Elephas maximus indicus: one gene and its partners. The protein of the gene in region 1 interacts with the protein of each later gene in a pairwise test. Links are inferred from orthologs where the notes say so. Each region holds a gene or a part of one and is shown in the gene's direction. Other genes may lie near its edges. The genes, in order: VENTX, TBX15, DAB1 and TBX22.

The links.
Region 2: the proteins of VENTX (region 1) and TBX15 interact in binary tests that used the Homo sapiens proteins (3 or more experiments, as listed by UniProt). The two-hybrid records come from large-scale screens. The link is inferred for Elephas maximus indicus from reciprocal best matches to the Homo sapiens genes VENTX and TBX15.
Region 3: the proteins of VENTX (region 1) and DAB1 interact in binary tests that used the Homo sapiens proteins (3 or more experiments, as listed by UniProt). The two-hybrid records come from large-scale screens. The link is inferred for Elephas maximus indicus from reciprocal best matches to the Homo sapiens genes VENTX and DAB1.
Region 4: the proteins of VENTX (region 1) and TBX22 interact in binary tests that used the Homo sapiens proteins (3 or more experiments, as listed by UniProt). The two-hybrid records come from large-scale screens. The link is inferred for Elephas maximus indicus from reciprocal best matches to the Homo sapiens genes VENTX and TBX22.

Annotation. Positions count from the first base shown.
Region 1 is NC_064834.1:82,821,135-82,828,227, forward strand, and holds VENTX (homeobox protein VENTX), read left to right. Parts: upstream 1-4,257; coding exon 4,258-4,495; intron 4,496-5,967; coding exon 5,968-6,128; intron 6,129-6,212; coding exon 6,213-6,593; downstream 6,594-7,093. UniProt on the Homo sapiens protein: May be involved in ventralization.
Region 2 is NC_064821.1:160,480,005-160,487,835, forward strand, and holds the start of TBX15 (T-box transcription factor TBX15), read left to right. Parts: upstream 1-4,816; 5' UTR 4,817-4,954; coding exon 4,955-5,159; intron 5,160-7,831. UniProt on the Homo sapiens protein: Probable transcriptional regulator involved in the development of the skeleton of the limb, vertebral column and head. Acts by controlling the number of mesenchymal precursor cells and chondrocytes.
Region 3 is NC_064821.1:101,487,945-101,495,223, reverse strand, and holds the start of DAB1 (disabled homolog 1), read left to right. Parts: upstream 1-4,263; 5' UTR 4,264-4,405; intron 4,406-7,279. UniProt on the Homo sapiens protein: Signaling adapter of the reelin-mediated signaling pathway, which regulates the migration and differentiation of postmitotic neurons during brain development.
Region 4 is NC_064846.1:87,274,447-87,281,597, reverse strand, and holds the start of TBX22 (T-box transcription factor TBX22), read left to right. Parts: upstream 1-4,151; coding exon 4,152-4,323; intron 4,324-4,930; coding exon 4,931-5,156; intron 5,157-6,032; coding exon 6,033-6,134; intron 6,135-7,151. UniProt on the Homo sapiens protein: Probable transcriptional regulator involved in developmental processes. This is major determinant crucial to palatogenesis.

The DNA of each region.
Region 1 (7,093 bases):
CCTATCTCAGGACAAGCTACGTTTCTTTCTCTTCTTTCATTGGTCCTGCTGTCTGTGTGCCCTCTGATGTCCACATTTATCCCTGAAAATGGAACTGAAGTAACTAAGTTCAAAACTAAAAAGAAAAACACAAAACAAAGTTCTGCTCTGACACACCTGGCAGCCCCGTGTGTGTCAGAGTAGAACTGCTCTATAGGGTTTTCAGTGGCTGATTTTTTGGAAGTAACCAGGGCTTTCTTGCAAGGCACCTCTGGGTGGACTCAAACTTCAGCCTTCCAGTTGACGGCCAAGCACGTTGCCCGTTTGCACCACCCAGGGACTTGGCTTGTTTATCTCCCAAGTGTAGCCTCTTTTATATCCATTCCTCTCACTGTGATGTCTCCTACATAGTGTCCCACCAATAGATGGTGTTTTAAATGTTCCCAAATCCCAAGGGAGTTCATGGGGGGCTTGCTGTGTACTGTGGGGCAGTATTTGAAGTGTGTCCTGTTTACCTGGAAAGTGGATTCTAACCTCAGGCAGGCTGGACAGGACCCTCCTGCCTCACTCCTCTCCTGTGGCCCCGTCAGCTGGTTGGGTTGTGTCCTCTAGCATCTCCTAGCTTCCCAGACCATTCCCACCTCCCCCAAGACCCCTTAGGTTTGGTCCCCGGGGCCCAGCCTCCCTGCCAGCCCCCAGTGAAGGGGGAGGGAGGTGTCCCCAAGCCTGCATCCTTGCAGCCTCAGAGGATGGGCAGAAGTGGGGCCTAATGGGGCTGAGGTGGGACGGGTTCCTGATGCTTCCCCCCAGAACAGAAGGCCTGAGCCTGGGACCTCACTCAGCAGACAGGAAACCCAGTGAGGTAGACAGGTCACCCCAGGATCCACTCTAAGGTCCAGCCCGAAGCTTCCCGCACAGGTGGGCTGCGTGGGCTCCGCCTCATCCCACTCACCCTTTCAGAATTTGAGACCCTTCAACCCACCGGGTCATCTCTTCACAGAGTCTCAGCCCAGCCGGGTTGGGGTTGTCCATACGTTGCTCCCCTACACACTCAGATTGTGTCATTTCAGGAGGAGGACAAAGGAGTCAGGGAGCCCTGGAACAAGGAGTGGAGCCTAAGGGAAGGGGAGGAAGGCCATGAGGGGAAGTGGGGGTGTGGAGGGGAGCGTGAAGGAGAGAACCTGACCTGCAGCAGGAGGGAGAAGCAAGACCCACCCCCTCCCCAGTGATGATGGGGGCACACAGCTGTGGGCTGAAGTGAGAAGGGCAGGGTGGGCAGTGGTACAGCCAGTCAATGTGGAGAAGGGGTTGTAGAGTGAGGTGTCCAGGGGGCACCTGGATGGATGGAGGACAGGCCCCTGGGAAGAAAAGGTTTGAGTGGGAAGTCTGACTTTAGAAGTGTTGTATATTAGGGGTGGGAGTTGCTTCCAAATCATGAACACAATTTGAGAAGGTGTCTGTGGAGCCAGGGGGAGTAGAGCGGGGATTAGTTAGGGAGGCCTGAAGCCCAGGGCTCACCCCTCCCCAGTGCAGGCATCATCACACATTGCGAGTGGGAGGCTGGGCTCAGCCGTCACCCTGCTGAAACATGGCTCCGGCAGGCTCTGTGGAGCCCACACCAGTGTGCAGGTGTGGGGTTCAGGAGATGGGTCTGGGCTGAAGCCACCAGGTCTGAGCTGCTATCCGGGCAAGGAGGTCTGCGTCTGTGGAGCAAAGGCTCCAGCCTATGTTTGTTTTTTTAATTTTCCAGCCTACATTTAATCATTTGGAGGAATGGTGGGCAAAGGGGCCTAGAGCAGTAGAACACTGGTGCAAGGGGGCCCAGGAGCTGGGCAGGGGAGGGCCCGGTCAGTCCACGACACTGCTGGGAGGCCAAGTAAGCAAACAGGCCTTGGCCATCAGCTCGTGGGGAGAAGGGAACACCCAGGGTATGTGTGGAGGCAAGGGGGGACTGTGATGAGGAGTGCTGATGGGGTGACAGGAGACCACCCTGATGGTAAGAGATTGTGGGGAGCTCAGTCAGGAGAGGCCCCCAGACCCCGCTGAGTAGACCTGAGGGTACCTGCAGACTGAGGTGGGACCCTTGAGCAAATTTCTTCCCTCTGTTCAGGGCAGGTGGCCAGTTTAGGCAAATGAAGGTGTTTGCCAGAGAGCAAGGAGGGGCTAGGACCTCAGGTGCACAGGTAGGAAGGTGGAAGCAGGAGCAGTGTCAGAGGAGCACCAGAACCCCACACCCCCCCTCACGGGCATCACTTGGTAGAGCTGGCTCTACAGGCACGGGGGCCAAGGGGCCAAGAAACGCTGGCCCTTAGAGAAATGAACGTTGACCGAGTTTCAGAAAGTGTGGTATGTGCTGTTTTCATGTAATAAGTGCTTTTGAACATGGCAAAAATGTTCAACAAGTGTTCCTTTTTACCTGTGCTTCTCTAGCCTGTTCAGTGCACATTGAGCAATTATTGCGGGGAGGGGGGCTGCTACCCTCAGAGCCTCTCAGACCTCCCTCCCAGAGGCAGGTCCAAGCCTTCCCCAGCGCACCCCTGCAGAAGCAGTGACCAAAGGCTGGGCGGCCAAGGCCCCTGAGGAAGGCCCAAATGGGGGGCCTGACCAGGGCGACCAGCGGGCTCCCAGACCTCGTTTTTTTCCCTCTCCCCTGTAGCCCGACAGGCTCCGGGGGTGGAGGTTGAGGGTGTATGGCCAGGGGAGTACCGAGGGCCTTTGCTATCCACCAGGTGAGTGGGTGTGGAGGACACACTGCTTACGTCCGCTGGTGGGGGGAGGGGGGAGGAGCAGCAGTACGAGCGCCCCAGGACTCCGTGCGCCCTGAGGTGCACCCAGGGCCGCTCCCGGCGGGCTCCCGAGGCATTGCCTCGCCGTGGCCATCGTCGGGGAGCAACAGATGCGATCCAGCAGGGGTCACGGGATAGAGGTCCAGGGAAGGCAACCCCCACCCCCACCCCCGGCACAGGTTGGGGGCGGGAAGCCGGCAGGAAGGAGCAGAGAGAAGCTAGTGATGGGGGAATAGCGGGGAGAGCGAGGCAATGGGCGCCCACCGCGCTGGACCCCGCTGGCTGCGTTGTCGCCTCTCTCGGGCGGCGGCGATTTTGCCGTCCGCTTTCCCCAGGCCAGCGCGGCGCCCGGAACGTGGACGCAGGAGAGTTCGGAGTGAAGCAGTCGCCGGGGGCGGGCTGGGATGGGGGAGGCCTACGTGGCCTGTCTCCCACAAGGAGTGTCGGCTAGCACAGCAAGGCGGGGACACGCGGGGCGGCCTGCTACCTGGGGAGCGGCCGCGTGGCTAAAGCAGAGGTCGGGACCGCGGCAGAGCGCGGTGGCCCGGCGCCCCCTTACCCCGGGGAGCCGTCCGCACCGGGGCCAGTAACCCGCCCTCCCTGCTGCGCAGGCGTGGCAGATCCGAAGGCGGCGCCACTAGCACCGAGTTAGCCCCTGCGGTGGGGCCAGGCCTATGGCCCGGGCTAGGGCGGCGCGAGTCGGCGCCGAGGGAGGGCCAGCCGGAGCCACAGGGGTCCTTCCCTCCCCAGCCAGACAGCCGGCGAGCGGACACAGAGCCGTGCTTGCCTTCTCCTCGGTCAGCGGGGCACCTCTTCCAAACTGAAACCTCTGTCATCTCCCCCCAGCCGCCCTGCAGTCCCAGCTGGGGAGGGGGGCTGGAGAAGCAGAACTTCCTGCCCCCACCGCTTAGCGCCGCTCGGGGCAAGCGGGGGCTGGGCGGCCCTATAGGAGGCAGCCACTCCTCCCCTTCCTCACGGCTAGGGCAGATGAAAGGATGTAACAGGTCCCCAAACCCTCAGCGGGCTGGGCAGCAGCCCCGCCCTCCCCCAGACATCTTGGAGCCGAGGGAGGTGTGAATGGCCTCCTTTGTGCTTCTCAATGAAGGCAATTAGGTACTCCTTATCTGGGGGATTTGCAGCCTCCTAAGCAAACCGACCCTTCTCCCCCCCACCACCCCCCCACCCTCGTTTATAAACTCAGCCCGGCCCTCCTCAGCCCCAGGCAGATCCTGTGCTGGGCCTGGCCAACGTGTCCAATCCTCTTCCATTTTCTGTGTGGCCCCCCGGCCCCATCTGCCCACAGTGGATCCTGTGCCCAGCCCGGCTCACCGGTCCAGCTCCACTCTCATCCTCTGCGTGGCCCCCCGGCCCTGGGGGATCTTCTTTGTCTGGCCCTCTGTGAGTGTTCTGCGTGGTCCCCTGGCCTTCGGGGGATCCTCTGAGTAGCCCCGTCACTTATCCAGTCCTCGGCAAATCCTCCGCCTGACCGGCCATGCCTCCCTCCTCCGACCTGCACCAGGGCCACAAACCACACTCCAGTTTCTTCTCCGTGGACTGGCTAGCCCAGAGCAGCCACTCGGGGCCAATATGCACGTCCAGGCCCAGCGAGGTCTCTTGGAGGGGCTTAACTGCCCCCGTCTGGGTGCCCAGCAGAGGGGAGCCCCCTCAGAACATGGCCATCGATGGGGCTAAGACCCCAGATCTGCGTGTGCGAGGGACACCTGTGGCTGGTAGGTCTTGAAGGGGAAAGTCCTTCCCAGATCGGAGTGGGCGTTGGGGAGGTTCTTGCAAGGCAAGGAACACACGAACACACCCTGTCCACTCGGTGGTTTTTACAGGGCAGTGATGATGTCCCCTTGTGAGTGAGTGAGTGAGCGAGCAAGTGAGCGAGCGAGCGCTTCCCCTCAGAGGGAAGCCACCTGCAGGCACCTCTATGGTACCAGCCCTGCAAGCCCTGCCCTGCCTCGGCCCTCTGCCAGCCACAGCATCTTCCCAGTTCCCAGCTACGTCCAGCCCAGGCCTGCTGCCCGAGGGCACTCCAGTAACTTGTCCTCGTGAAATTACCCCACCCCACACCCAGAGGGCAGCTTGTCTCCCAGCTATGCCTGTCACGCACGGTGGCTCTGGTGTCTTTGTGCATGTGGTCCTCAAGCTCTACACTGAGCCCTTGAGACCCGGGTCACTGGGAAAGACCGTTGCTTCTAAAGCTGTGAGACTGGCCAATGCAGAGAGGTCATCGTTGACCCCCAAAATGAAGGGGGTCTTCACTTGGCTCCAAACTTGAGCCCGTTCTCAGCAGACCTGGAATCTTGGCATTTTAAGAATGCTCCATGGGTGTGATTGAAGTGGCCGCTGGGGCTGGGCTGCAGACCAAGAGGCCACCTTTGCATTTCTGTGCCTGGGAGTCTCGCCTGGGGGCCTGGCCAGCGGCTCCATAATCCTTATCTAACCCTTTGTCATGTGCTGACAAGATTTTTTGCTGTTTGTTTTCTAGTCCATTGTAATTTAATCCATTGTTTTTAGGTTTAAAGTCCTACTTGGTCAACAATGAGATTGGTATCTATGATTTTTAATTTTTTTTTAAAGTTTGAGTGATTCGTTTGGAATAATTTCATACTTGGGTGAAGTGAAATATTTATTGCAAAGACCCACAGCAGGTCCAGGTTAATGGGTGTCTGCCTTGGCTCCCGACTAAATCCAAATGTGAACAAGTCGATGAGAAAGGTTGACCTCCCCTTGGCTCTCTGGGTGCCCCAGGCTTTTGTACGTAGTGGACCCTCCCCGGAAAGTCCCTCTTGCTCTGCCCCATCTGTCCTCATCTGGTGAATTGGCTGCAGGGAAAAGAAATTGCTTTCTGGAGGGATGTGAGTGAGGGTGGCTCTAGGTTGGGGCACTGGCTGGTGGAATCTGCACCAGGACTGCCCCTCTCAGCCCAAACCACTCTAACCTTTGTCTCCTTCCTCCAATACACATGTCCTGCTCTGGACCCCCTCCACCCTTGAGCTGGGAGACTGAGCAGGATATTGGAATGGTGGAGTAAGGAGAGAAACTGGAGCTGCCCCTGCTTCAGGGACACAGGGGCTGCCCATCCACCTTTGGCCGCTGCGTCTGCTGCCTAAGTAACCCCGAAGCTCAGGGCAACTTTCACATAGCGGGGAGCATGTCCCAGGTGGGTAGACTCTCACCCATCTTCCCGTTCCAGGGCTGAACAAGGAGCCAGACCCTTTGCGGGCTCCCCGGGTGCGTACGGCCTTCACTACAGCTCAGATCAGCACCCTGGAGAGCGCCTTCAAGCTTCACCAGTACCTGGGCCCCCAGGAGCGGAAGAAGCTGGCCAAAGAGATGCACCTGACTGAGGTGCAGGTGAGTAGGCCATGGGGGGGGGGAGGGGAGGCTGGGTGAACGGGGGCGGTCTGTTCTCACCCCTGCCTGGTTTGTTTCCCACAGATAAAAACTTGGTTTCAGAATCGTAGAATGAAACACAAACGCCAGTTGCAGGACTCACAGCTCAGTGTCCCCTTCTCTGGACCCCTCTACGGGCCCCTGGCCATCCATCCACCGTCTCCTGTCCTGGGTAGTGGCTTGCAGCTGTTTTACCGTGGGGCACCCCTGCCTGCCGCCCCAGCTGTTTTGCTGCCTCTGGGCTCCTTCTGGGGTCCCTGCCCAGTAGAGCAGGTCTTGATGGCCTCTGCATGGAATCCCTGCAGCAGGCAATCTCAGACACACTACCTCCCAGAGCCTGGGGGCCAGGCGCGCTTGTTGGCGCAGGCCTCATCCAGGGGCTCCTGGGGCCTGTGTGATCTACCTGAAACCGAGGGTGCCTTTTGAGGAGGCTGGCAGCCCCGAAAGTGGATGCTTCGCCCATCCCCAGGAGGTGTGTGCAAGGTCTGCCATTGCCCTGAACAGACACTAACTGTCCTTTTCATCACAGCCGCCTCCCACATGGCGGGCCTTGTGTGTGTACGATGATTCATGGTGAGTCCCTACCCTGACCACCTTAAGACTCCAGAGTTTTACAGCTGGAGACATTTTAATGCCACCCCTTCGCTGAAAACTACCGAAAGGGTCAGCATAGGGGGTAACTGATGGGTCAGGGAGCAGAATCAAAGGCCAAAATGGATGTGTTACGCATGGGGTTTTAGCATATGGTAAATGGATAATTTATTCAATAAAAGGTGTTGGAAAAAACTGGTTTTCCTGTTGGAAAAAAAGAAAGGAGGGTCCTCATTCTGCGTGCGGATCAGCTTGGTCTGCAGAGACGAAGTCCGTGAACCGTGAGAAGCAAGTGAGGCTCTACATTTACAGCTTTGAGGTTTGGGTGCCTTTGT
Region 2 (7,831 bases), on another chromosome or scaffold:
AGACCTAGGCCAGCGAACAATAGCGCAATGTTGCCGCCCGCCGGGCCGGCTCTCCCGGGCACACCGTGGCGGCCGAAGGCGAGGAAACCGGGTGGCGCTTTTTTATAGTCACAAATATAAAATCGGGGCTTTCCCTCCTTTCTCTCGCCCCCTGCCCCAACGCCGATAGAAAGCAGATAAATTTATGAAGGGCGAGCTAAGAGAATAATTACAGGGTAAAGGCCGTTAAATTTTATTTCCAGTCCCAAAGGCAAAACCTGCCATTTTATTGCAAACATCTGGAAGGACCGAGAGGTGGGCACACTGCTGGTTTAAAATAAAAACAAAAGATTTTATTTCTCGAAAACAAAAAAACATCGTTAAAGACCCTTTTGCCCCCATGCACTTTCATTTGTAAAGCATGAAGGGGTGGTTGAATTGAATAGTCAACGACACGACGGTCTCACAGCTCCTGGGGACCCGAACGAACCGCGTTATCTCAAGCCGACAGGACTGGGCCCTCGCTGCCTCCAAGGAACTGGCAATTGGGCAAGGTTTCCAGAAATGGATTCCTTCCCACCCCCCACTACCCCTGCCCTCCACCCCCCCCCGCCCCTGCGTGAAGACTCCAAGACAGTTTTGCCTCCCCATTTCGTGGTCTTTTGTTGCTTTTGGGGCACCAATTTGGGAACAGAAGGAAAAAGGGGAAACGTCTGCCTCACATTCCTGGAAGATTGAATCACAACAATAATAAAACCTCTCTCCTGTCCAGTCTCAAACAGATTATCTTGCATGCGTTGCTTAGTTGTAGAGAATCCAGGATTCGTTCAGTCTGAAACAGGGAAACAGAGGCAAGGGGCTATTTTACTTGTCCAAGGTCAGTTTGGCCTCAGTGGGGCCTGGTCACCAGGCTTCACCTCTCCTTGGAGTTACTGGTGGTTACCCAAACCCAATAGTCTCCTCATAATGTTTTTTTTTTTTTTTTTACCCAGAAAAATGACCTGCCTAGACGGTGTGAAATCACTGCTATTCCCACCCACACAGGGTATCCTGCACATGTGTTTAGGGGCAGCCTAACCTGTTCCAATGGATAACCACTGTATTTTTAACATTGTTTTCAATTACCCACTCAAAACTCCAAAATCAAAGGCAGCTTTTATTTTTATCGTTATTTCAGCAATAATGGAGGTATTTAGGGTGGTATTGGGGATGAGGAAATAGGAGGGAAGGGCAGGTATGTGAAGTATGTGGGGCTCCATTTCTAGAAATGAGTGTTTGTGTTTATGACTCTTGTTCTACGATGCTCAGAGGCAGACTCTCTGTTGTTCCACTGAGAAATGAAAATACCTGGACTAGGATGGCACTGGGTTTAGGTCAGTTTCATGTGAGCAATCACTATGCTGCCAAGTCTAGGACTGACTGTCTTCTTGCCCCATATGTCCTAGAAGGTGATCAGTAAGGCTTCCTTGACACTCCCCCCTGCCCCCGCAACTTCCCAGTACCCCAACAGCCTTCTCTTGCTCTTTGGAGCCCTGCAAATAGGGTGGGGCATCTAGCCTGGTCCTTGTCAATCAACTTTAGACCCGAAATAGACCTGGAATAGACTGCCAGGCTATAGCCTCCAACCAAGTACAAGGCTAGAGTTTGTGGCTGGGAAACCAGGGAATTGCCTCAGGAATTAGCCTCATACATTGGGGACCCCACTCTTACTCCTAAAGGTTAAAGGAGAGGGAAACTGAGGAGGGGGCTGAGAGGAGACTTTGAAAGTTCTTTGATGCCATTAGTCAAAGGAAAATGAATACAACAATCCCAGCTTCTTACATTTAATCCCCCTAAATCCTCCCTTCTCCTCCCAACCACACACAGTTACACATCTAGGTCACACAAACAGTAAACCGTCCTGATTAATCTTTCTCCAGACTTCCTGCCCCATCAGTACAGAGTCACACACCAAGGCATGCATTCTTTGGGAAAAACTTAAATTGACAGATACAGAGTCACAAAAAGATTTTCCTGCCCCTCTCGGTTACCTAGGGTAAAAGAACCCTAATTTCATGACTTACATTTGGCTTCTCTGGGGTCAGATTGGTTTCAGTGACTTAACCCACAATTCCAGAATATGTGTGTATATGAGATGGGGTGGTGGAACCTATGTGTAAACTGAAGGAAGGGTGCAGGAACTCCAAGAGCTCACAGGTCTGGAGCGTTTGGGTGGGGTGTCCTTGAAGGCATTGCTCATGCCTCTGTGTGCGTCTGTGGGTCATGTTCATGGACACCTACATCGTGCACCCCTCTGGGCCTGCATTTAGGTGCGTGGGTAACCAAAAAGTCTTCTTTTTTAGTAACTTTCTTGGCCCCAGGGAGAGTGTGTGGCCTATAGTGTGTCCACTTCTCAAACCAAACCAGGCCTCTGGGAGAGTGTGAAGGCTAGACAGCCAGTGGGAGATATAGGCGATGGGGCAGAGGAAAGAGCCGGGGAAGGCTAGAAGCAGGCCTCTTCCCTACCCCACCGCGCCTGGTCCGGGACAGCTGTGCGGAAGAACGCCCGGCGACGCTAGAGTTGGGAGAGAGGTCTGAGGCGCCAGGGAAGGGAACTGCGCGCTCCGGCCCTGCCATGTCTCCAGCGTTTTTGCTGAACGTCTGTAGGGGTGAACGCAGTCACTTTCCGCAAGAATCCTACAAGCAATGCCGAGCGATGGCTGAAGTGAGAAACTATGCGCCTTGCCGCTCAGGCTCCCAGAGTTCGCCCGGCAGCGCGTGGGAGGCGCTGGGGGCCCAGTGCCCAGCTGTCAGCTCCCCAAGGTTCTTGGACGTGTTCCCCAGGGACCCTCAAGCCAGAGACACAGGCTCCAGGAAGACCCAGGAGGCCCAGGCCTGGCTCAATCCCATTCACCTTGTGGCTAGCTTCCTGTCGTCGGGGCTGGGGTCCAATTTGAGGGACCCCAAAATGGCCTTTCTGCCTTCCTCTCTTGGGCTGAAGAGGCTCCAGGAGCATTCACGACCCTTAGTCGTGGCCTTCAGCACCGGCGCGCTTCCAGCTACAGCAGGGGCTACATTTTTTTCGGGCCCCTAGGTGGTCAAGCCAAGAGCTCTGCGTTTCAGAGACCCGACGGGCCCGTCTCTCCTCGCCCCTGGGTAGGAGGACGGGTGGGCGCTCGTTCTTGGTGGCCTCTGGCTCGGCATGGGTGCCCTCTGTCCCTTATGGCTTCACAGCCTGTCAGCGTGACAAGTCTGCTCGGCCGCTGGGTCCCTCGCTCATCCCCCTCCCCTGCCCCCCGGGGTCCATTTCTTTCCAGCCTCTACAAAAGAGGATCGAAACGTCTAGATCAGGACCTTAGAACGGCAAGATCAGGCTGTGGTAGGTCGTGGTCGGCGAAATCCGTGACATTTTCCCAGCTTGGATGGGGGGGGGGTCTGAGCGTGCTCGAACCAAGGCTGCGCTCAGGGTCTCCTGCCGCCAGATTCGGAACCCGGGGAGAGGGTGTGGGAAATAAGAAGGTGTAGCAGTGTTGGATATTAAGTTCCTGATGAATACACTGTCCTGTAAAAAAAAAAAAATTAAGGAAGGGTGTCAGCAGGGCAGGGAGAGCCGAGGACTCCTGAGGTAAACGGGGTTGAAGGAAAGAAAAAGCGCCCTCTCCACTGTCAAGGCTGCCCGCCCAGGGCCGCTCCGCAACAAACGCCGGGAGAAGGCGAAGGGCGGCCCACAGCAGCGCGTCCGCGCCACAGGGAAGGCGAGTGTTTTCTGGGTGCCGGCCCATCCGGGACACGCCTGTGGAGCGCGCGGTAAGCCTGGCGCCGCCACCGCCGGCCTCTGGCTCGAGGGCGCCAGCGTCTCCTCCTCCATCAGGTAGCGCTGGAGGGAGGAAGCGATCTTTGGATTTTCGATTACAAGACCCTGGATAGTAACGGATTTTTGGGGGGTTGCTTCGTTTCGTTTTGCCTTAAGCACAGTTGTTTAGAAAACGCTCAACAGAAATGTAAGAGCCTGTGTGGTGGGGGAAACTGGGGCGAAACCAGCAGATCTAAAAACACTGGGGGGTAGGCAAGATTATAAAGGTCGTTTTCTGACATTTTTGGACAGGTTAACATAGTCAGAGCCCAAAACCTTCAGATCTGCCTAAAAATGACTGGACTTGCAGAGTCTCTAAGATCCAGCAGATTTAGGAGGAAGAGGTAAGGATTTAGGATTTGCAGAAGTTTGTAACAGCGCAGATCCGACGTTGGCTTTCATTCTCCCTCCCTGGCCCCCTCCCCCGCCCCCAGGAGTCCATCAGGGACCGGGAAGCCAGGGGTTAAGGTCGGCCCAGGAGCGTCGCTGGGACGCTGGAGCGCAGAGCCTTGGCCGGAGCCTCAGTCTCTCCCCTCCTCTCATTGGCCTGCGCTCTCAGGGTTTCTCTTGTTCCCTCCTCGCCATTGGTCAGGGCTGGGTTTTTTTCCCCTCGGTCTTTCTCTTCCACCCCCCTCCCTCTCCCTTGCCCCTCGGACTGGAGCTCACTGACTGCCCCCAGCTCCTCGGGAAGGGAGGAATTTAGGGGGGAAAAAAAAAAAAGTTTCCCAGAAGTTTGGATCCAAGGGGACGGAAAGACCGAGAGAGGAAGAGGGAGAGGGAGGAGAGAAAAAGAGAGGGAGGAGAGAGAGAATAAAAAAAAAGATGAAGTTCAGTCGGCACAGCCTGTGAGCGCCTGCCCGGGTGGGTGGGAAGCGGGACTCCAGCGCTCATGCGGCGCGCGGGCGGCGCTCCCGGCGCTTGTTCCTAGCGGCAGGGGCAGCTGGGGGCGCCTGTCCGAGCCGGCGGCGGAGGGCGGGGGAGGGCACAGGAGGAGGGTGCAGAGGACCTGCGGCGCTGACGCCTCGGCCTCGGCCGCCGCGCCGCCGCCTTTCCGGGGCTCAGCCCGGCAGGCGCTCGGAGCGTGAGGGCGCAGGCTGCTGAGGAGTAGCGGAGCGAGCGGGGGCCGGGGTGCGGGCGGCTAAAATGAGTGAAAGGAGAAGATCTGCAGTCGCCCTGAGCTCGCGAGCACATGCCTTCTCAGTTGAAGCCTTGATCGGCTCGAATAAAAAGCGGAAACTGCGAGACTGGGAGGAGAAGGGGCTGGACCTGTCCATGGAGGCGCTGAGCCCCGCGGGCCCTCTCGGAGACACCGAGGACGCGGCCGCGCACTGCCTGGAGCCCCACCCGGGTGAGTGCGTCGGGCTGGACCGCCGGAGGCGGGCGGACTGGGGACTAGGGGCGGCCAGCCAGCTGCCAGCCGGCGGGCGGAGTGGCGAGGAGGGAGGCCCTGAGTGCTCAAGCCCTGCACTGCTCCAGCGCGGGTTCCCTTTTCTTCTTGCAAATACCTTGAATCTCCCTGAATTCGCCGGAACCAATTTAGGGGACAGGTCTGAGCCTTGCATTTTCGTCGCCAACGTCAAGCGTGGAGGCCTGTTGGTACCCGCAGCTAAAAAGCAGCTAGGCCCCTGGGGGTTAGGAGGGGCGTGGGTCGAAGGCAAAGGCGGGGAACGAGGGGAGCCGAGACTTACTTCCTCGAGTTCCTGCCTGACTGGCGCGGTTTTCCGGCCCGACACCTCTGTCTCAAGAAATGCCCACTTTGTGCCATTTAGCTTCGAGCCTGGGTCCTTGCCCTTCCCCCACCAACTTTTTTCTGGGATTCAAGTTGTTGTGTTTCCCCTGTTCCCGGAGACAGGGAGCATAATTGTATTTCTAGTCTGTTGGGGTTTGTGGAAACAAGAATGGATGTTAGACTCTCATTCCGTGCCTTGAGTCATTCTTCAGGACCCACATCGCTGTGTGTATTTGGGGAGCCGAACATGCGATTAATTTTTGTCTCCGATCTCTGCGCGTTCTGTGCATATTATGTACACACAACACATAAAACATAGGGCAGATATAGATGTCTGTATTTTAATAGGACCTTGGGAGGGGGCAATTTAACGTTGGTATTAAGTGCCAAGATTTCAACTGTGCAAAACAGCCTGAGGAAGCAGCTGTTGTTGGAAGAATCTTGCGCGCGCACACACACAACGCTTGCGGCTTGCTTTGGCGGCTTCAGAAACGTTCCAGCTCGGGCTTCTAAAACTACACTGGAGGTGCTCCTGCCCACCAGCCAGGGCTGGGGAGTAGACTACGATCCTGGCGCGGACAAGCCCGGGGAGTGGGTAGCGTCCTGCATAGTGGCGGAGCGGCCGCAGGCCCGAGAGCTTCTGGACAACTCGGGATCCCGGCCGGAAAGCCGGCCGGCCCGAGGAGGGACAGCTGTCGCTTACATTTTCTCTTTAGGCAGTGACAGTTCAATTTCCATGCTCCTGAGGCTAATAATAACGCGATTAGCGGGTGACCTGCAGAGACAGGGTTTTATGAATTCTCCGTGTTCTTGTGGCCCGTTACGGTGTTTGGGTTTAGTGTTGGGGAATTATTTTTATTAGTCGATGAAAAGAAAATTAAAAGGAGATTTATTTCGTCAGCTCAAGTCTTCCCCTGTATTTGGATGCGAGTGCCTGACCACGCAGAACTCTGCGTGGGCAATCCAGAAAGAAACGCGTGGCGAATGTGTATTTCCCTTCTTTCACCAGACCCCATTTCCTCACCGCATTTATCTGTTGTCAAAACCTCACTAGGTTTTACACACTCAGTGGACATTCCTTCAGGCCTTAGGACAAATCACGATTTAGGAGGGTCGTTTATTTTCTCGACGGTAGAAACGGTAGAAGTTATTTAGCTTCGCGTGGCAGTCGTTCTGTCCGCGAGAACGTTTCTCTTGGGAGGCCCTAGGTCGCCCAGAGCCCCTCTGGGGTCTCATGTTCAAAAGAGCCAACAGCGGGGTCATAATCAGGGACTCAGCAAAAAGTTTTCTCTCTGTTGTTCTTGGAAGAAGTTAAGTGAAGGGGCTCAGGGCAAGGAGAGACCAGTCCAGGGGTATAAACGCGGATTCTAATCTCCGGAATCCTCTTCACACGCTCCCACTGGGTGATAGGGTGGAGGACCTGACATAGAAGAACCTTACGTAACAGAGAGTTCTGTTCCCATTACCAATTAAAAACAGAACAAAACAGACCCGTCGCTGTCGAGTCCATTCCGACCCATAGCGACCCCATGACTTAAAAAAAAAAAAAAATTTTTTCTTTTAAGGCAAAGTTGGGCTTTTGGATTAGAGAGAAAACGAAATATTTTGTGGCGCAAGGGCCCGGGAGCAGGGAGAAGCCTAAAGCCGAGAGCATTCGTGGGCCTTTTGCGGAGCCCGGCTATGGTCCAGGCCTGGAGGAGCCATGGGCCGAGGAGGATCCCCAAGTTGGTGCCCCACAGTGGCCGAAGCTTTCTTACGAGCCTGGACGCAGATCGAGAAAAGATCTTTAAGGGAAAGGGTGCAGTAGCGTAGAGAGTTGCCTGTCTCAGGAGCAGAGGAGGCGGAGCTGCTGGATCCTTCCCTGACAGCGCGTTGCACCCGGGCTTGGGGGTCCCCTTTAGGCCTTTTTTCCTTTTCTCCTCTAATGCAGCACCCTAACAAACACAAGGCCCCATTTAAAGGTGTGTATATGGGGGAGGGGGGCCGCAGGCGACCCCATCGAGGCTGCGTCTCAGCCCGGTTGGGCCTCGAGATTTTGTTTAAACTGGCTTCTCTCCGTTAGGGCTGCTATGGGATTGGAGTCGCCGCGTGCCTCTCTTGCCCTAGGCCGATAACCAGACAGGAACAGGAGAAATACAACAAAAACAAAACTGCCACGGGACTGGGGAGGGATTAAGCACAAACGGGCACATATACACAGGACACACACTTAGAGCAACTGTATTTAGCATTCTCATCAGCTCTCTGACTCGTACCCCCAGTTTTCAGCCCGCACTGACTGCCAGAGCCAC
Region 3 (7,279 bases), on another chromosome or scaffold:
AAGCCCATTGTTGCAGCCACTGTGTCAGTCCATCTCGTTCAGGGTCTTCCTCTTTTTCACTGACCCTCTACTTTACCAAGTATGATGTTCTTTTCCACAGACTGGTCCCTCCTGATAGCATGTCCATAGGACATAAGACAAAGTCTCACCATCCTCTCTTCTAAGGAGCATTCTGGCTGTACTTAATTTGTACTACTATTAGGATTTATGATTTCTGACATTTGGTTTTGCACTCTATGATGGGTCATTCTCAAACAGCACTTACCTGAACTGCCCCTCTGAGTATCTTGAGAAGCATGTGCACAGGGATGGATTATGTAAAGTTCAGTAAAGCCCTTTTTCTCTCATCTGCATGCTACTCATGCCCATGTCCTTTATGCAATTGACTCTGAGCTTCTCAGAGACAGGATCTGTTTCTGATTTATCATCATTTTTCACAGTGCCTAGTATGGTGCCTGATACATAGAACATACTCCATAAATGCTGTTCAATTAAAATGAACGATTTCGGAATTATTCTGGAAAGAGAACCAGTGTTTACTGGGTGATTTTTTCAGTACTACACTTATCCAAGAGGCTATCTCATTTAAGGCTCACAGCAATCTCATGAAGCAGGTATTATTCTCCCTATTGGTGGCACAGTGGTTTACATGTTTGGCTGCTAACCAAAGGTCAGCAGTTAGAATCTACCAGCTGCTCCATGGAAACCCTACGGGACAGTTCTACTCTGTCCTATAGGGTCTCGACAGCCTTTTTTTTGGGGGGGGGTGGTGATTGTAGAGTTGAGAAGTTTGAAATTAAGAGAGGTAACTTACCAAAGACAACTCAGGAGCATCGGATTCCAAAGTCTATATTCTATCCACTACCTACCAATAAGAGTAGGACCTCCTTCACTCAGCTGTTGTGAAGGTTAGATGAGTCAATATATGAAAAATACCCAGAATGGTGCCTGGAAAATAATAAGCAATATGTACATCTTTGCTGTTATTCTTCTTATTATTTTGCTGTTTCTCAGAGTAGGTAATAAAGAACTATTTATTGATTTTTCATTTTGCCATACGTCATACAAATGACATTGCTATTAAAAAAAAAAAAAAGAACAAAGGAAAAAACACCCTAGCTTTTAGATGAATTGTTTCTTGACATCTTTAGAAAATAATAACTTAAAATATCACTTAAAAATTTGGTTCAGTTTTTTTCTAAAAGACCATTTGGCCCTTGCTGGGCAGCTTGTGAGCAGTTAGCACCTATATATTATGCTTTCTTCCAGCCTGGACTTGGAAACAGCTCTGGCTTGTTGCCCCTGTCAGATTTCATGGGCGTTTGCCCAGTATCCATGCTGGACTTTGTCTAACACTGAATATAGAGTTTTGCATGAGATTCTTCCCTTTATAGTCCTTAACCAAAACCAAAACCAAACCCAGTGCTGTCGAGTCAATTCTGACTCATAGCTACCCTCTGGGACAGAGTAGAACTGCCCCATAGAGTTTCCAAGGAGCTCCTGGTGGATTCGAACTGCCTACCCTTTGGTTAGCAGCTGTAGCACTTAACCGCTACGCCACCAGGGTTTACCTTTATAGTCCTTAGCCAACTCAGTATCACACATTTCCTTCAAAGTCTGTCATCATAACATCAATTTAAATCAGGACAAGGTGGAAGGCAGGTAAAGGGGACAACTCACACATGCAGGCCTTGTATGTGGGGTCCCTGGGTGCGGGGGCGGAATAAGCGAGGTATGCATGGGCTTACGTTAAGCAAGGCAGGCTTACTTGTGTTTACTGACTAATCCGTAGCGCATAATTTCACCACATCTGGTGAAATTATGCACTGAGGATTAATAAGTAAACACAAATAAACCCACGCGTACCTTGTTTATTGGGTAATCCGTCCCTGCTTGGGTGGTACAAAGGTTAACACACTTGACTGCTAATCAGAAGGTTGGACATTCAATTCCAAGCAGAGGTGCTTTGAAGAAAGGCCTGGCGATCTACTTCCCAAAACTCAGCCATTGAAAACCCTATGGAGCACAGTTCTACTCTGACACACATGGGGTTGCCATGAGTCAGAACTGATACTAGTATTATCAACTGGTACTAGATCAGTCAACTGGTACTCGTATAACCTGTTGCCATCAAGTCAGTTTTGACTCATAGTGACCCTACAGGGCAGTGTAGAACCACTGCACAGGGTTTCCAAGGCTCTAGGTTAGCAGATGAATGGTTAACCACTGCGCCACCAGGGCTCTGGTAGGTACTAGTATAATAAATAATTTCATGTTCCCCAGCTGCCCTCAAAGCACTGAGAAACCTTGGAGTGTTTCTTAGTAGAGTCAATGAAAAGTTGGAGCTATGTTCCCTCTCCCAAGATTTGACATTTGTCCCAACCACCTGAGGTACTTAATGATTTTCTTTACCTCCCTCCCCATTTCAGCCATATCTTGTCTGATTTGTCCATGTCCCCTCAATTCTTCCTGTTGCATTCAGCTTCCCATGGTCTGTCTTTGTGGATGAGGAAACTGATGAATTTTGTTAATAGAATTGCCTAGCAAGCTTCAACTTCCTACTTAATGAATCTCAAGTGTTACTTTAGAATTAAATTCCCTAGGATTTTGGAAGAGTTTGAGAGATTTGAGCCTGTTTCCTGGGACCCCACTGTCCACGGTCACAAACAGAAGTAGACAGGAACAGAGTTAATATCAGGGATGGCACCCTTCCCCCCACCTTGTTGGGAGTTTCTTCTGATCAACTCTTTCCCCAAGATTGCATCTTGCCAGTGACCTCACAATTTTTTCTTGTCTCTATGTAAATGGCTATCTTTTCAGGAGGTGCATGACAGCCTCCATTTGCATGGGCCTCCATTTATACAGAAGCTGTTATTACGGAATGAGTTTAATGGGTCGTGAATTTTGTGGAGAAAGGGAGGGTCTCTCGGTGACTTTGTATGTACCAGCCACAGACCTATTGACTCCACGAGAAGTGCATTAGGCTAAATATTTTTAGCCCATTGACTCTGGAGGTAATAACCCTAAATGCTTCATTAAATTTTCATGGGTGAGCAACAGCAGCTGGGGGGGGGGGGGAAGAAAAACAAAACCAAAACAGCACGTTAGCTTTATTATTACACAGCTGGAGGACAGGAGTGTGGCCCCTAAAAAGTGGAGAAATAAACTTTTCAAGAAACTGTTGTCTGCCTTTTCCTTTCCACCTCCCCGCCCTGCTATGACAGGACAGCACTTGATTTGATTTTTCTCCCCTGCATCTGGCTTCTGGAAACTGGGGTGCCACAAGAGGCATTTGCTGGAGTTGAATCCAGTCTCAGGATAGGAGAATTTTCGAACTCTCAAAATACGTTCTGCGATTTGGAGTTCCTAGGATCTTTGGAAGTGAGGACCTGAACTAGGGAACGCCTGAGTGTACTCGCTGGATTATTCTCCTGCGCAGATTGTGTTCACTGATCTAATCTTAGGATTGTTCACTCGCAGGCATTCTAAGAATGAAAAGAGTGAAGGTTGAAGGGCGTGGACCCCTCCCAGGGACTGATGAAAACCTGACAGATGCCAGCTTTTTCCCTTATAGCCAAACTTTGCCACCGAAACCTCAGGTACTGCAAGAGCGCTGAGCCAGGGTTGGCCGCTGGGAACGAGCGTCCCCTCTTGCAAAGGTGCGTGGGGGCAACACACCGTCTAGGAACCTCCCTGGGTTTTTTTCCGCTCACTGGCACTCTTTATATTTCCAAAGGTGAATGTTGGAGGCTTGGATAAAAGAGAAGACCCATGAGAAACATGAGGGATGCCGGGCGGGGGCTGCTGCTGGTGGTGGGATAACGGCGAAAACACTGGATACTTTGTGAAAGTGGAGTCTGATGGCTTTTTACCCCTCCTCCGCGCCGCCGCAACTGGGGCGGGGACCCTGTGCTCGCTGCTCGGCTCTCCCCCTTCCCGCCGGGATGAGGAGTAAGCGCTGGGGCTCCAGAGGCGCGACTGCGAGCCGCGGCGCCCCCGCTCGCTCGCTCTTGCTCTTCCTGGTCGTCACCGAGACTCGGCTAAGCTCTCGGAGTGCGCTCGGGAGGCGCAGAGAGCGCCTCAGTGGGAGCGGGAGCCGTGAGGCCAGGGGAGGGGCGCGCCGGGCGGCTACGCGGGCGGCAGCGGGGGAGCGAGCAGGTGAGTCGCGTCGCTGGGCGCCGGGCCGGCGCGGGGGCCGCGGGAGGAGGCGGGTCTGCGCGCATGGCGGTCTCCTCCCCCTGCTCTGACGCCGGGCCCACGGCTCCCAGGAGGATGGACCCAGCTCCGCGCTCGCCGGGGCTTCCCCGGGCTGGAGAGCGCGCCTGAGTCCCGTCGCCCGCCGGGCATGGGGAGCCCCTTCCTGGGCGGCTGCGGCAGCGGAGGAGGATGCTCTGGGCGAGCCGAGGTGAGGCGCGGGGAGGGCACGCGGCAGTCGGAGTTCAGCGCTGGCAGGTGGCCTGCGGGTACACATCGCCGGGACGCGGGGATGGCTCCGCCGGGGTTCCGGCTCCGGGAGGCGCGCCCCTCTCGGGAGTTTGGCGTGGGGCTCTGCTGGGATTGCGACTGCAGCAGTTTTCTGCTCGCTCCTTCCACTTCCTGGGGGCGGGGGTGAGGGGAGCGGAGGAGAAAGGGGAGACCTTTGCGCCTTCCTCTTGGGTCCTCCCTATCTCTCTACTTGTGACCACTCGCGATTGTCTCTCCAGACTTGTCCATCGAAGACACTTGGTTCTCCCTGGGACCCACTGCGCTCATTCCTGCGTCCCCGGGTCCATCTACCCACAAGCTTTCCTTCTTCCACTTCAGGATCTGCCCTGTGGTCCCGGGCGCTTCTCCCTGCCTCGCTAGCGGCGCTCGCCGTCGGGACTTTCTTCTCGCCCGAGCCCTGATCTTACTTCCCTACTCGCCGGAGCGCTGCGGTTCTGTTCTGAACTATCTGGTAGACGGATGTTTCCCAGTAACCGCAGCCCTTTTGCTGACACTGTCAGCTTGGTCTCGCTTCCCCTCTGACCCTAGCCTTCCCCGAGTCCTTCAGCGACTCAGTTCTGACCCGCCTCGCCTCACTTCCACTCCCCGGGCTTCCTGCTACCCGAGGTCTCCCCACGCCTTCGCTCCCCTTTTCCTTCTCTCTGCTCTGGACTCAACGCTCTGCCTCGGACGTAGAGCTCGGTTTTTTTTTTTCCTTCTTCTTCTTCTTTTCCTACTGGGGAAACTTTAAATCACCGTGGTTCGGCTCATAAAGGAGCCACAAAACGGGGTCTCAACCGCCGAGAGAACCAGAAGTCAGGGAGTTAGAGCTGGGGGAGATGATACCGCGGCGTCAGAAAGGGGCCATTGGCCAAGTGGACGGAGTAAATTTGAAAACCAGGGTGGCTGCTGCAGCCGGGACTCTCTCCTCCCCCGCTGGCTCTATCCTGCAGAGTGTTAATTGTGACCCCTGGTGGGAGGGCGCGTTTATTTTCCGCACTTTTTAAGGCTCTTTGTGTGTGTGTCTCTGGTGAACTGGGATGGGGGTGCAGGGGATCACGAGAGAAAGCTGCCCCGCGAAGCTGGTGACACTTGTCTCCTGCGTTGCCCCCTCCCGGACTTGCCAGATTGTGTATGTTTCACTCTGTGTAAACTACCGCCCACCCCAACTGCATTACACAAGTCCTCATTGTTGGGGGTCTGCCTGGGCACTTCCGCCTTGGCTGGGTGAGTGAAGGAATGGGGCGGGGGTGGGGAGACCAGGGACGCTGGGCGACCACGGTCGGGCTCTCGCTGGAGGCTCGGCGTGGGCGAAGTGCGCCGCGGCGCGGGTGTCTGTCCGCTTGGGTGTGTGCCGACGAGGGTGGGGTGCGTGCCTGCGTGGGTCCGAGCCTGCGTGTGCCTTTGGATGCCGACACACGCCTGTGTTGAGCCAAATTAGAAAGAGGGGCGAGTCCAGAGCGTGATGAAGCGAGAGCGCCTTTCAGCGTCCCGGAGCTGGCCGAGCGAGTCCTCCAGCGCCAGGGAGGCTACAATGCGTCTCCTGGCGAGCCTTCGGGGATCGGAGGAAGAATTCTCGCTGTTGCTTCTCCCTCCTGCCTGCTCCCCTCCCGCTGGCCCGTTAGACACCCTTTCACAATGTTGGTGGTTTTGAATAAAGGCCTTGTGGGGGTTCCACTGGCACTTTATAACGCTTAACATGTTTTCAAGTAATCATATAAATTAAAGGTGGCTTACGTTCAGAACCCCATAATTACCCGGTTCACGTTTGTACATTTATGTGCCAATTATAGGTCTTCGGGAAATGCATAAAATTATAAACTATCCCCACCCCCTGAATTAGCACCCATTGTTTTTATTATCTCAGCGATGAGTGATTCTGGTTGGAACCCTAAACTGCTCAGTCAAGAAGATAGAAGGGGGAGGGGGAGACGAGAGGTTGGATGGGGTTAGGAACGTTTTCCCCCATCTCTTTCACTCCCTGTCTGGAAGAGGTTTGGTGACAATTCTGAAAACTAAAAGGGATCAAAGATTTATTTTATTTCCTATTGAGAAGGGCTACTGAATCAAAGGTATATAAAAGTCAACTTCCAGGCAATCAAAATTGTCTGCTGATATCGTTGATTGAAACCCCAGCATTCAAATGGAGCATTGAAGAACTCAGAGAAATGGCTTTTGAAGCACTATTGTTCTTTGCCATACACAGAGGCCTGTTAGAGGTTTTGGAAGTTCAAAATGCAGTGATTTGAAAAGATTGACATTGTAACTATTAGGCAAAGATGGGAGGATCTGCAGGGCTGAGAGAAGAGACTGAGGTGGGAAGCGCAAACACGTTGTTACTATCTCCTTGAGAACAAGTGCCACTATCAAGTAGAAATTCAGTCCTACACAGCAAGTTGGCAATTAAATCTCTTCCTAAAGCAGATTTAGACGATGATTTTTAGTGGATTTTTTTTTTTTTGGTGGTTTGCTTAAGGTCTGAATAGGCATATCTGAAACATTTAATCATGTTCATTGTATTCAACAATAAAATCTGAATAAAAATTACTTATTGTTGATGAAGCTCATCGCACAAGCTGTTTCACAGTATGTTTCATTTGCAAGGCTTACCATTGTGTGAGGCTGCTGGGAAGAGATCGTATCACTTATTGTTCATTTTCTCCTCCAAAAGCCAGAGAAGAATGTGCTTTTTCGCTTCTCTTTACCCTCCAAAGTCATTTTTTTTTCTCAAATGGGTGGGTGTTTGGCTTGGCACCTGACAGTACCCAACTTAAAAATTGCATTTGGTGGCTTTCTGATGCCTTGAGCCACCATG
Region 4 (7,151 bases), on another chromosome or scaffold:
GGAAGACCTTTCCCAAGTGATGACAAAACTGGTCACCAGCAGCAGATTTTAGACTTGGAACTAGGCCAAAATATCTTAACCATGGGGTGGGGGTGGTGAGGAATGAGGATCAAAGGAGAGAAAGAAAAATGACAATTGAAGGGAAAAATGTCTCTATCATGAAGTTGCTTGTGCTTCTCTGACAAAAACAGGCACTATGCATTCAACAAGTCTCAAGACATTTTATTTTATTTTGTATATTTTGCCTCTACCTATATATACGTATACACATATATATATATACACATATATATATGTGTAGGGAAACCCTGGTGGTGTAGTGGTTAAGTGCTACGGCTGCTAAACAAAGGGTCGGCAGTTTGAATCCGCCCGGCACTCCTTGGAAACGCTATGGGGCAGTTCTACTCTGCCCTATAAGGTCGCTATGAGTTGGAATCGACTCAACGGCACTGGGTTTGTTTTTTTTTTAATATATGTGTATTTCATATATATGTATATTTACATACATATATACATATATATTTGAAATGCTTACTGATTTATTTAATTTCGTTTGTTTCATTCTTTTCCACACAAATTAAAAGTAGGAACTGGAATCAGTTTGAAATTATCCCCTTATTTAGTAAGTACTGCAGAATACAAAGGATTTTTTTCCTCCAGTCAGACTTACTCATTTTAATTAAACATAAAACTTTCTTCAAATAACCTATACTGCCTATATAGAAAGCTAGGAAGACCCTGAGTCTTTACTCCTTACATAAATCATACATTTCTGATAAAAGTAACATTTCCAAACATGTTAACTTAATTCTGAACATCTATTTCCATGCTCACACACATCACCAGAAGCAGCATTTTCAGGGCCTACTTTGTTTAGTGCATGTATTAGTATACATGCCTATTTCTAGCCATTAACAAAATATTGGGATTTTTATTAGAGATACAAATTGCTTTCTCTGTCCTTAAAGTAGGTTCAGGTTTCGATTCCACGAGAGCTCTAATAAACAATATATCACTTAAGGTGCTTCCATCTCTTCTGTATCCTCATAGATACTGAATAGGTTTGATTTGCGTTAATCACAAAATTATTTTTCCTTTCAGTTGTGAATCCTCACTGTGTCCCAGTTGTAACTTTTTTCGGGGAAGTTCAAAGCCAACACCTGATTCTAAGGATTTTCCAACTGTCAAACTTAAAAAAAAAATCCTTCTAATTTGGGTAACTGTGGGTCCCAGAAGCTCTCTCTGCACGTTCCACTGTCCCTCCATGCATTGAAGAGTCTCTTATAAGGGTTTCTAGGTGTCCTTGGCTGAAACAAACAGACAAAAATGTTGAAAAGACACATCTAACTGTAGAGAATTAATTGCTAGTATTTTTATGAGTGTATGTCCCTCAGGCCCCCAGTACCCGATAGCCCAGTGCTTCAGCAGTTGAACAAATTGCAAAGTTGGTCCTGAGGCATGTGATAAATTTTCTCTCAAATACAAGTTAACAGGAATTAACTACACCTCAGTCTAGCATAAGGGAGGGCTGAGCTACATTTCTCCCAATGATGACATCAGATAGATATTGAAACAGAAATGGAAGTTTAGATTACAAAAAAAAAAAAAAATCCTGGATGTCTAAATTACGTGCGTGTAATGAATATTGAGTATTGAGGAAGAAGTTTCTTCTAAGAAAAGAACTTTCATCCCAAGAACTACTATATCCTTGATTTAAAAAAAAAAATCATATAGAACATAGTTGGAAATACTAGAACAAATATTGCACCAACCATATTTTGTCTTATTTTTGCAGAAATCTGGCAAAAACTAAATCAAATAAAAAACCTACCAAGCAAAGCCCCCCCCTTGTTATCAAAGGTACCTGTCTTTTAGCAGTAAAGTGAGCCAGGGTTTAAATACAAGAAAATGCCTATATTAAGAGACACTAATGAAAGTGCTACATGGTGACTAACGTTCTAAAATTAACTTGTAAAATCTTGACTTCTCTGTTTCTGGGCTGTACCTTTAAGCTAAGAACATGCAATGGATATATGTATATATATATATATATATAGAACATATATATGTAGATTTTTTATATGTAGATTATATATTCTATATATATTCTGAGTAAGAGGAGATGGACAAATGCATTAATATTTTCATTTTTTTAATGGCTTCAGAAGGAAACAAATGCCCATGAAGATGTGGCCAAGATTATATCCAGATCTAGTTGTTATCCAGCCCACATGCCTTGTACACTGGAGTTGGCCTTGCCCTGTGAGCTTTGCTCTGCCCCTCTAGGGTAGGGATGGTGCCTTTCCCAGCTCTGCATGGTGAGCAGTGGATAATTGGTTATTGAATCAAACCCTTCAACAACGTTCAGGTCATAACTAACACTTCCCCATGATATGTGAGATCATCAAAGTTCTGGGGTTCTTAAAGCCATGCCCAGTTGCCTGAAGAGCTCCTTGCAAGGCACCAGCTGAATGTTGACCTCCTCCCTCACCACTACCACCTTCATCACACAGAAAATACAGGCAGGGCACCCTTGTACCTAAGTAACTGAAATTAAAAGGCCACACAAATCTCAAACTCCAATATAGAGATAAAACCAAACCCAGTGCAGTCGAGTCGATTCCGACTCATAGCGACCCTATAGGACAGAGTAGAACTGCCCCATAGAGTTTCCAAGGAGCGCCGGGCAGATTTGAACTGCCGACCCTTTGGTTAGCAGCCATAGCACTTAACCACTACGCCACTGCCAATTAATTCAAGTCCCATCCTATTTCACACGAAGTTGAATTGGCTTTAAATGCCCTCAATGTGCCAGATAAGAACAGGAGAATCTTTCTGGAAAAGTGCACAGGTCATTACTGAAAATGCAGTCTACAAAACGCCCTGAGGCATCTGATTTCTTATTTCTGACGAAAAGGGGTGAGCAAATCCCATGCACACAGGCAAATATCTCATGTCTGAACTCACGGAAATGCTTTTGGAAGTGGTAGACAAGTCTCTATCTGATAGGAAGAACTTGCCTTCATCTAATTTAAGGAAAAGTAAGACCCAGCCCAAAAAGATATTCCAGGAGACACTGGAATCAATCATTTGAGCCCAACATTTTGAAGTTGTCAGAGGCCCTGTTGGTGCCTTGCTAGTGGCCCTGGAGTCCTTATATTGTATTTGCTGATTAGTCATGTAAGTATGAGAAGTCTGTGTATATGAATATTGGGGTCCAGCAGGAACAGACCTGGAAGGCCCAGGTACTCTCTGATCTTTGACAGTGACCACCTGGGGGGGGGGTCCCGTCTGCCCTCCCTGAGCCTCTGCATCCAAAGAGGACAAACTGGCACTACCTCACATCCAGCTTGAAACCCCTATTGCAGAGCAAACCTGCCCAGAAAACTGCTCTACCTTTCCCTGGTGACTTTACTGGAGAGCAAAAGGCCCAGATACACTTCTCTGGTTCTGCTTAAATAATGTTTGCACTTTTGTTAGAAAAGTGGCCCCTAGGGGGCAATTATGTCTCATGTCTTTGAGTTTTACAATTTAATGTAAAACAGTAACCTTGTATTATAGTCAGTGCTGTCTCCCTCTCCTCCTTTCTCCTCCCTTTCCACAGCCCCGCTCCTCAGTCAGACTCTGAAGTGTCACTCAGGGTGTTTTTTATGCTTCCAATAGTTTCCAAAACAAACAATGGAGGCTGCAACCAGCCTGTATTCACTCAGTTGGGTGCAACATTATCTCCCAATCCCAGTGGCCTGGGCCGCTATTGGCGGCAGGTCTGCTCCCTAAAAGGCCCTAGATTGCTGATCACTGTGAGCTCTGCCAGGTCCTGGAAGCAGCGATTTGAGGACTGATGGTCCACATATGTCCACTGGGAGGGAAGAGACCGCAAAAGGAAAGGAGACTCTGGAGAAGTTAGGTTCCAGTTTGATCTTTCTCTCCTTTCATTCTGTATATTCAAAGAAAGAAAGAAAAAAAATATGTATATATATATGTACATCTCCATACCCAGAATCATTTTTTGTTTTGTTTTGTTTTTTTAATTTGGGGATTTTTCAGTTTTCCTTTCCTCGCCTATCTCCCGCACCCTCCCTTTCTCCCTCTTCCTCCCTCCCTCAGAGGTTCAAACTTCGCTGTGCACTTTCCCTTTGCTTTCTATAGGAATGGCTTTGAGCTCCCGGGCGCATGCCTTCTCAGTGGAAGCCTTGGTAGGGAGACCAAGCAAAAGAAAACTGCAAGACCCAAGAGAAGAATTTCAGCCTAATTTTCAGGAAAAAGAGGGTGGAAAGGAGGAGAGGAGGTGCTGCGCGGCAGGCAAGAGGAGTGAACAGTCTGGTAAGTACCCCACACAGCCCCACTGCCTTTAGTTCACCGGCTGCGCGTGCTGGATTCAGGGCACTCTCCGCCGGACCCACAGCGCTGCGGGTGGACAGCTTGCTCTGCACCAGGATGTCCTGGCCTAGCAGGGCTTCCACATTAGGGGCCAGGGGACACCTAGACCACCTGGCTCCAGAGGAGATTTCTATGCCTCTAAAGTCTGGAGTTCTGAGGTTCATTTGCGGTGAGGTAGAGGGTTCCGACATGCTTACGGAGAAGTGAGGCTCCCTGACTTCCAAGAAGCCCAGACAGCTAGAGGGGTGGCTGCCCCTTGGGGTAGGAATGAATGCAAGTCCTCAGATCCCTGGAGGATCCAGTCTCCGAGACAGAAATTCTCCAGGAGAATGAGGATGGGCAAATCTGAAGAAGAGCTGCGTCTTTCTCAGGGTGCGATGTTACCCCTTTCTCTCCATTACCGGGGCTCCAGTGGATGCTGGAGGAAGGTTGGGTATCTATGGCTAGGATTTCTGAGGGAGGGACAAGCCAGACTGCCTCCATACAGGCGCCAGCAAGGAGGTGTGCAAACTGCAAAGCTCTCTCAAACCCTTGGCGTCTCTGTGTCCAGCACAAAAGCGACCCAAGGCAGAACCCTCAGCAACTGCATTCTCTGGCTGTGGTGGTGGCGGCGGCGGCGGCAGCAGCAGCAGCGGCAACGGTAGCGGCAACAGCAGCGGCAACAGCAGCGAAAGTGTGGAAGAGAGAGATGCTATCCAAGTGGAGCTTCAAGGATCCGAGCTGTGGAAGAGGTTCCATGACATTGGGACTGAGATGATCATTACCAAGGCTGGCAGGTTCGGCTCTACCGAGGCTGTTCAAGGGCTGTGGGGCAAGCCATGCACACAGTAGGTGCTTAATGTACCACCTCCCCACCTACCCCGTGATAAGCAGTGCCTCCAGTTTTACACTTTAGTACCCTACATCACCACTCCCCACCGCCTGGGCAGGCATTAGAAACCCACTGCCCCTCAAGCAGTCAGACTAGGGCTTGCCTGGCTTAAGTAAGCGGCTCAGCCTTCCTTTCCAAGCACTGGGTATCTCTTATTCTGTCTGTGCAGTATATGACTAAAATTAGATCTGTACAGGCACTTGACAGATGCCAACCCCACATCTTAGGCAGTGGTCAGGCCTCTCTTTAAAGCCTTACAGTTACCAGTGGATAATATCCTATCTCACAGGCCCCTAGGCCTCCATCTGGGGTTGGAGGTGGGCCTTTCTCCCAGCCACCCTTTCATGTGGCAGCTGGGTGATTTGTGTGTATGTGTGTGTGTGTGTGTCTTCCTAATTTCAGCCTTTTCCAAATCTGCCTCACAGAAAGTACTTCAGAACAGTGGGGGAGGGGAGAAGGAGATGCAGCACACTGTTTCCTCTCCTAGTTTCTCTTCTTTAACTTTTTACTATAGTAGGATGAGGGGTGGCTGGACAAAGCCTTTACCTGGGTTTCTTTTTATAGTAAGGATATTCTACTACACTCAGAAATCTTGCACTTGTTCAATGAAACATACAAACCAACAATTTTTCCTCTTATAGCGATTGCAATTCCCTAAACGTGCCCTGGGATAGGAAGATATCCCTTCACTTTTCATTGGAGTCAGCATTTCTCTCTGATCCCGCCCCCCTCCAAAAGTCTCTAAAAGCATCCTGGTCAGTCCCTCTGTTCTCTTCCACAGGCGGATGTTTCCCTCTGTTCGGGTCAAGGTAAAAGGGTTGGACCCAGGGAAGCAATATTATGTGGCCATCGACGTGGTGCCGGTGGATTCCAAACGCTATAGGTAACCGGGCCATAGGAAGGTACCCAAGACCAGGCAGGGGAGGGGGATTGGGGCTCACAATCAGAGAGAGCTATTTTGAAAATCCTAGCAAGGGGGGAGGGAGCTGCTTTCCCATGAGCTTTGGGAGTTGAATAATCTTGCTCAAATCTGGGTTTTGGACTGAGGGAAGAGTAGGCTTGTTCCTCTTTCTCCCCCATTCCTGTAACACCGGCCACCGAATTGGAGCTTCAGTGTACCCCAGGTCTCTAGCCTGCTGACTACTTCCCTTTGCAGTCCCAACTGCGGGGGTGGGGGGATGGGCTCAGGCGGCCTTGAGGAAAGCGGTTTGGAGGAGTTTGGGAAGAAATGCCCCAAGCTCCTTGTGGGCCCGGGCTTCTGAGGCACCCTGGCCCCAGCGGGTGCCAGGAGCAATGCCCTAATTTGCCATTCAAGGCTAGAGCAGTCCAGCAGTTATCGCACATGGGCGGGTCATTTCTTTCTTCCCCAGCCTCTCCACCTGAATTGGCCGCCGGGCCCCAGAGGGTGGGAGTACTCTTTCCTCTAGATTTAAGCGCTTGGTTTAGAGCAAACGAAAAGTGGTTGAATTGCCCTGAATCCAAGAGGCCCGTTTGGGCAGGCAGCGCAAAGGCACTGGTCTGTGGGACTCCTTTGACTCTGGGGCTCCAATTGTGTGGGAGTCGCCAGCATTGTGGCTGTGAGTGCTAGACCAATAGATCAGTGCCAGGCCCTCCAGTGAGACAGTCTGCCTGGAATCAATGCTGGGTGTGAGGGCAATGGAGAAGGCTCAGCTCAAGAGCCTGCTGGGACCGCGGCCGGAAAACAGCAGAACAAGCTGTTTGCTTCTCACGTTGCAGCTGCAAGACGGCTCTTGGGAATGCTGCACTCAGCGGCGCGGGGTTGAGATTGGAAACATTCTGAAATGAGCCCTGCCTCAGAACCAAGCGAGGTTCCTGGGGGTATTCTGGTGTTGAAGCCTTGTTGGTTAAAGTGCTTTGATGAGGACTGAAGGCTCTGGGC